2 linked regions of the Drosophila melanogaster genome follow. Each later gene encodes a partner of the first gene's protein in a complex. Each region holds a gene or a part of one and is shown on either strand. Other genes may lie near its edges.

Evidence for each region. Proteins that work in one complex are often made in the same cells at the same time.
Region 2: Tim17b1 (region 1) and ttm50 share a complex: the UniProt entries of both Drosophila melanogaster proteins name them as parts of the TIM23 complex.

Annotation. Positions count from the first base shown.
Region 1 is NT_033777.3:5,298,347-5,301,800, forward strand, and holds Tim17b1 (Tim17b1), read left to right. Parts: upstream 1-1,798; 5' UTR 1,799-1,845; coding exon 1,846-2,167; intron 2,168-2,358; coding exon 2,359-2,555; intron 2,556-2,621; coding exon 2,622-2,642; 3' UTR 2,643-2,840; downstream 2,841-3,454. Other genes in the region: mtd (mustard), read right to left, coding at 1-143, 1,124-1,227. UniProt on the Drosophila melanogaster protein: Essential component of the TIM23 complex, a complex that mediates the translocation of transit peptide-containing proteins across the mitochondrial inner membrane.
Region 2 is NC_004354.4:2,730,523-2,734,276, reverse strand, and holds the start of ttm50 (tiny tim 50), read left to right. Parts: upstream 1-2,086; 5' UTR 2,087-2,228; coding exon 2,229-2,487; intron 2,488-2,559; coding exon 2,560-2,743; intron 2,744-2,799; coding exon 2,800-3,328; intron 3,329-3,387; coding exon 3,388-3,511; intron 3,512-3,570; coding exon 3,571-3,754. Other genes in the region: CG2712 (uncharacterized protein), read right to left, coding at 77-721, 792-1,046, 1,107-1,712. UniProt on the Drosophila melanogaster protein: Essential component of the TIM23 complex, a complex that mediates the translocation of transit peptide-containing proteins across the mitochondrial inner membrane.

The sequences.
Region 1 (3,454 bases):
ATAGATGAAGGAGCTGTTCAGCCGGTTGAGGTGGGTCAGCTCCGAGGGCGTGGTGTCGAACCGGGCGGCCACGGAGGTCAGGGTGTCGCGATTGCCCACGGTGTAGGAAATGGTGGGTATGGTGGGCAATGAAGACTTTTGCCCTGCGGAACGAAAAGAAATCATAATTAATAATGGCATCGTATCGCTGGAGGTACGTGCTCGCAGTTCTTTACTCGGAGGATCGTGCTTCTTCGGGGCACGCTGCTGGAAGACCTCGAAAGAGTCGCCATCGGGTCGCAAGTGCGAGCAGATCACACCTGTGGGCGGAACCTGCTGCCGGCAGTGGTAGATAACCGAGAACTCGTTGGTTGGCATGTGCCAGTATATCTCAATCAATTCCACCATTTCTAGCCCTGTATCATACGGTTTTTTTGTATCGTTAAAACTGCGGGCTCATCAGTTTTCTCGAACTGTCACAATTACATTCATACATGTAATCAACTATCAGCGCTGTTAGCTTTGGCGCGCACTTTCAAACGGGAGGTGCGATAAGAATTTGTTTATAGGTACCCCCCGGTTGGCGCACAATTCCCTGAATCAACTTCAAACTAATGCCAGTAAGTAAGTATGTTTTTTTTTTTAATGAAAATTATTTTATGATTATGTTAAGAATGCCTCTGGTTTAGGCACTAAAATTGAATGTAACGCGCAAAGTACAATCTGTTCTGATATATCGGAATCGGAATACTGTAGAATTAAAAAAAAAAACACCCTTTTTGCTAGCTGATTTGATTCAATATGTACACTTTTCTAATAATACATCGATTTTACATAGAGTGTGAGCATGAGCGACACCTGGCGGCAGAATACCCTAGCGTTGACTTGAGGAACCTACGAGTTCTACACAAATTTTACATTCATATTACATATAAGTTTAAATTGAACTATTTTAATTGAAAGTGAGTGGATACAGGGGGCTTAAGCCGGGGTTCAGCAAGGATCCTTCCCGAAATAAGTATTTGTTTTGAGAAATACAAAATGATTTTCATATAATTCTGCATCCATCTGCTGCCCTAACCAAAGATTCTCCATCGGTTTAAGTCTGTCTAATTAAATTATACTTATTTGAATAGTGACTTACTTGATAATTTGTCGACGCTCTCGAAGCGCTGCTCCACTTTGGAGCGGAGCGAGTCCAAGTCGAATGGAGCCGCAAGGCCGTGATCCACGCTGCGCGATTTGCTCCTGGAAAAGTGGGAGAGTGGTTGTAAATCGGTTGGGAATGGAATATTTGGGCTTGTAGCGATCGGAGCGCAATCTGTTGCGATCCTTATCACTTACAAATTTCCAGCTCGAATTGTGACCATAACCGGGTAATAACAATTTATTTATTGGCAGCCCGTTTGCCTTTTTTATTCAACCTTTTTGTTGTGCAATTGCTATCGTTTTGTAATGATTATCTTGACGATCAGCGAGTGTCCAAATACGGCAAAACGACGCATTTTAAATGTTTTTTTAAACGGTTTTTGATCTGTTTTGTTTTTTGTTAGATCAGCCTTTAAACAATTGGCGAGAAGTCACGATTTTCATGTGACTTGTCCTTAGGTGTTCGATAGAATTAAATCGGAAAAGTATGAAGTATAAGTAATTTGTAAGGAATAACACACGTGTCGAGTGCTTCTAATTACTGATTCTAATTTTAAAATGTAATTTTTTCTATTTGCTTTAAAAGTTTTTTAATGAAACTTTGAATTGAAAATCGCTCTCAAGGAGGCTTTGACTTGTCCATCTATTCTGCTGTGTGTGTCTGTCACCCCATCAATTTTATCGACTGAACTCTCCTGAGTCCGATAATCAACTGACATGGCGGAGTACGGTCGGGAGCCTTGTCCCTTTCGCATTGTCGAGGATTGTGGTGGAGCCTTCGCAATGGGCGCCTTGGGCGGAGGAGCCTTCCAGGCGATCAAGGGCTTTCGAAACGCCCCCTCCGGCCTGGGATACCGATTGAGCGGAGGATTGGCGGCGGTACGGGCTCGATCCGGCCTGGTGGGTGGTAACTTTGCGGTGTGGGGCGCTACCTTCAGCGCCATCGACTGCTCACTGGTTTACTTCCGGAAGAAGGAGGACCCGTGGAACGCCATAATTAGTGGAGCAACCACCGGGGGCATTCTTGCTGCTAGAACTGGTGAGTTTTAAAGTTTTTTTTTTCAGACAAATGCATTAACAATTAGTAAACCAGGCTGGTTTTCAATGCTTTCTCAGGACTTTTATATCCTTATATCCTTTTTGCCTTGTTTTTCTTTCTGCTTAACTTTATGGCTATTATCGCACGAATATGCGAATATTTACTTTTTTGCTTATTCCTCTTTTTGGCAGGACTAACCTCCATGCTCAGTAGTGCCTTGGTGGGCGGGGCTCTATTGGCCCTAATAGAGGGCGTGGGCATTGTGGTGTCCCATTATTCGGCGGATTCCTACCGCCAGGTGTCGCCCGTGGAGCGGCAGCAACGGTATAAGCAGGAGCTTTTACGGCAGCAAAAGGGCGTTTCTCCACTCGCAGCGACTTATGGAGAGGTAAGTGAAATCCCCTGCGCAATAATACGCCTCAATAATTCCGCCACTCACACTCTTTAATTCCAGATTGACTCTTCGGCATTGTAGAATTCTTCGCTGCGTCATCGCCTAGTCGTCGCTATCCATCCGCGAACGCGTGGATCGACGATTGCATACCAATTTATAAAAGATTGCTTTGATTGTTCGAATCTGATACTGGCGGCATTCCCATTTCAATTTAAATTCAATTGTCGTACAGTGCAAGTTTTAGAATCATAAATATATTTTGCTTCGGCATATTTATATAGACAGTCTGAAGTCCAGCCGAAGTGTGGTGGCTTTTTGGGAGGCGCGTGTGCTTCAAAGCTCCATACTTGAAATTCCAAACTTATTTGGGGTTTCCTCCTACAAAACTCCTTTGATCAAGCCAGAAACTCGAACCTTAATATATCTAAGCCTAAATATTCCACTTTATAATGCTTGTTTCTGCACCCGTGGAGTCAGTGGATTCTACTAGATTCCTAGAAAAGTGTGTAACAGACAAATGGATTTTATTTATTTTGTTTTTGTCTGCTACTTCAATCGATATGCCAACAACATATTGAAGTTTCTCACTAGCTAAATCAAGGGTACTCTACTATATATCATTAGATTTTCTTAAGTTACACTTTGAATCGTTCCTTTTTTTTAAAAGGTTGCTAGTGCTTATCTTTATTAAAACATCTCTTCTGCACTACATTCCTCTTTCTGCACTCACATAAGAGCAGTTTTCCCTATTATTGCGTTCCCGTTTGATTGGCAAAACTAATTTCCGTTACGATTTCGGGCGGGAAAATAGGGTTTCCTCTGCCCAGATAGTTGTATCACCGTGACAATGTGAATGTGACAACCAAGTACCCGAATCGTCAGGAGGGGGCTAT
Region 2 (3,754 bases), on another chromosome or scaffold:
CGAAAATAAAAGCGAATTGAACTAAAACTAAATGTCCCGATTTGTACATTAAGCCGATAGTATAAGCGATCTAGCTTCAGGTCTCCACATTCTCGTCCTGCTCCTCCAGTTGGACACCCACTTCATGCTCGGCCCGCCTCCGCTGTCTGCCCGCCTTGTGCGACTGGCGATGGATGGCGAGTGAGATGCGGCGCTTGAAGGACTTGCCGCACTGCTCACAGCCGAACGGTCGCTCGCTGCTGTGGACGAGCATGTGGCGGTTGAGCTCGGATGTGCTGCCGAAGCTGCGCTTCTGGCACACCGGGCACGGGTGGGGCTTCTCCTGGCTGTGGCAGCGCTTGTGGGCAATCAGATTGCTCGAGTAGCGGAAGCGACGGCCGCAAATGTCGCAGCCGTGCGGCTTCTCGCCCGTGTGGGTGAGCATGTGCTTCTTGTAGCCCGACTTCTGTGTTAGCCTCTTGCCGCAGATGCTGCACTCGAATGGCTTGATTCCGCTGTGGATTAGAAGGTGTGTGCGCAGCGAGGACGCCTGCCGGTAGACCTTGAAGCAGGTGGGGCACCTGTTCGGATTGTTACGATCGTGCAGCGTGACATGGCCGTCGCGGGCGTTTCGCGTCTTAAAGGACTCTCCGCAGATTGTGCAAACGTAGGGCGTGGCCGTGCCATGTAGCTGCATATGGTACTTGAAGGAGTTGTTGGTGCTTAGTTGCTTGCCACAGATCTAAAGGAATGGAGGGAGAATTGATGACCTTCGGCTTTGAGTTATTTGCGAGCTGCGATGACCAACTTACTTTACACTGTAGGGAGGGATTGAGGGGTTTCCAAGGCCGGCTTCCACTGGGCAAAGTTTTCTGCGTCGCCGAAGTCTGTGCTGATTTCTCCACAATCTCGTAGACATCTTCGCCAGCTTTGGCCTGCAAAACGGGCTCCACTTGGAGGCACTCTTCAATGCAGTGGTCGTTGTCTTCTTGGCGAATTTTTGGCTGGCCATGTAGCCTCATGTGGTACTGAAAGGTCCGCTTCCTAGCCAGTTGTTTGCCGCAAATCTGCCGAAGATGGGAAACTATTTCGTGATTACTTACTTCTAATTCGGAAAGGCAACTCACGGGACATTGCAGCGCTGGCTCGGATCTTTCTAACCTGCTCCTACGTTGCTCCGGATCCGGATCGTCGACAATCTCGCAGAGATCGTCTTCGTGCTGTTCCAGTGCAATATCCAGCCTCTCCTCCTGTACAATTGGCGCTTCCAGCCGGCTCTCCGCCTCATCTGATTCTACGACCAGGAGTTGCTCCTCATCTCGTATCGTTTCTGCTGGATATTCAGTCACTTCCTGGTCATCGAGCACGAGTACAAAATCCTCCGGAATCTCGGTTGACAGCCTGGCCCTAGTATTCACCGCGCTGATCTTTTTGCTGCGGCAAAAGTCCGCATGACTCTGCCGCAGAATTCTGTCCATGCGATGGACACTCCGCTTGAATTCCAGCGAGAGCCGCAACTTGGCCACGCAGTCCGGGCAGATGTGGTGGGGCAGGAAGAGCTCCGCCTCTAGGATCTCCAGACCGCTGCAGTAGCTTAAAATGCTGGCCAGCGTCGCTGGTTTGCCGGAAATTGGATCGTCGAGCGGTTTGAAGAGCGGCAGGCAGCGCGGCGATGCTGTGTGGCACACGCGGCACAAGGCGTCCATGGGGGACGGCGGCGACATGGTCGTCATGGATTGAACTCGACAGTAGATAATACACGTTTAAATAAATAACTTAATTTAGCGTCCCGAACAGTGATGCCAAAGTCCAGCTGATGCGTTAGTGGTGGCACTCAAAATAGCTAGCCAGGCACATCAGCTTGGAAGTGACCAGAGGCACAGTGGCTTGGTGGTTGGTCAAAGGTTGTGTATTTCCATATTATTTAAAATATTTTAATTTAAAATTTTCTTAATACTGTGATTAGTCAGATTGCCGGAGGCAACATATGTACACACGCAGTTATCTGCAAAATCCCGCCAGATTTGGCTTGAAAATCGCCGATCTATACCTGCTGAGAGCCACGTGCTAAATGTACTAACGCCTGGTGCCGCCTGGCAGTGGACAGTATATAAAATCCCTAACGCCAACGCCGTGCCGGTGGGAAGTTGAAATTTTTGTTGGAATTTTTTATAAGTAAAAAGTCGCTGCCATCCGAGCAGGACTCGTGAACGGCTCTAGGACTCGATATCGGGAAGGAAGGGGGAAGCATGAGCATGAGCATGGCACCGGCCACCGTCCTCCAGTTGCTGCGCGGCCTTAGCACGCCGCGTCTTCTTACCCACATCCACCAGCACCGCGCATTGGGTAATCACTACCACCACTACCACCAACACTACCAGCACCAGCACCACCTCCTCCACCACCAGCAGCAGTACCTCCGACTATTCACTTGCACAGCACTGCCAGCGGCTGCTCCGGCGCTCTTCTCGATCCTGCACACAGCGCGTGGCTACAGCAGCACAACCAGTAAGTGATTCACGGTAGAGTCCTAAACAGTAGAGTCCTAAACATTCATCCTTGGCCACTTTCGTTTCGCAGAGCAGGAAGCTGGAGCCACTGGCCCCAATGATGCGCCCGAGGTCGCACCGAATGCCCCGCTGCTGGCCAAGCTCTTTCCTCAGACCTCGCCGGAGGTGGACAGCAACGCCGAGCAGGAGCGCAAGAAGCGCGAGGAGGAGGAGGAAAAGGAGAACGAGCGTGCCTGGAAGCGCATGAAGCTGGGGTAAGCTGACGCCCATTCAATGCGTAACAGTATTATAACAATACTTCCTGCTGCAGCTTTGCAATATTCGGAGGCAGCGCCGTGGCTGCTGGATTCTGGGCCGTCTACGAGTTCGGCAAGCCCGAGGTGGACCCCAACGGGCAGCCCATCGAGGACGAGTTCACACACAAGCCGCTGGTACAGCAGTATCTGCAGCGGATGTGGAAGAGCATTCACTACTATCAGCGCATGATCCAGGAGCCGTCGCGCGCCAAACTGCTGCCCGATCCGCTCAAGCCGCCGTACGTGCAGCCGCGCTACACGCTTGTGCTGGAGATGAAGGACGTGCTGGTGCATCCGGACTGGACTTACCAAACTGGCTGGCGCTTCAAGAAGCGTCCCGGCGTCGACCACTTTCTGGCCGAGTGCGCCAAGGACTTTGAAATTGTCGTCTTCACCGCCGAACAGGGCATGACCGTGTTCCCCATCCTGGATGCCCTCGATCCCAACGGCTACATTATGTACCGCCTGGTCAGGGATGCCACGCACTTTGTGGACGGCCATCATGTGAAGAACCTGGACAACCTTAATCGCGACCTCAAGAAGGCAAGTCATGCACAACGTATTTTCTATTGCAATCATCTATAAAGAAGGGAGTATTTTAGGTGATTGTTGTGGACTGGGATGCGAATGCCACCAAGATGCATCCGGACAACACATTCGGCTTGGCCCGCTGGCATGGCAACGACGATGATGGCCAACTGCTGGACCTTATCGCTTTCCTAAAGAGTAAGTTGCGCCACAAGTGACATTGAAAGCTAAACACTGACCCTTGCAATTCGCTACAGTAATTGCGCAGAACAACGTGGACGACGTGCGCGAGGTGCTCCACTACTATCGCCAGTTCGACGATCCCATCAACCAGTTCCGGGAGAACCAGCGCAAGCTGGCCGAACAAATGCTGGAGGCGGAACGCATCGAGCAGTCCAAGACCAAGCCAATGGTCAAACAGTGGTCGCGCAACATTCTCGG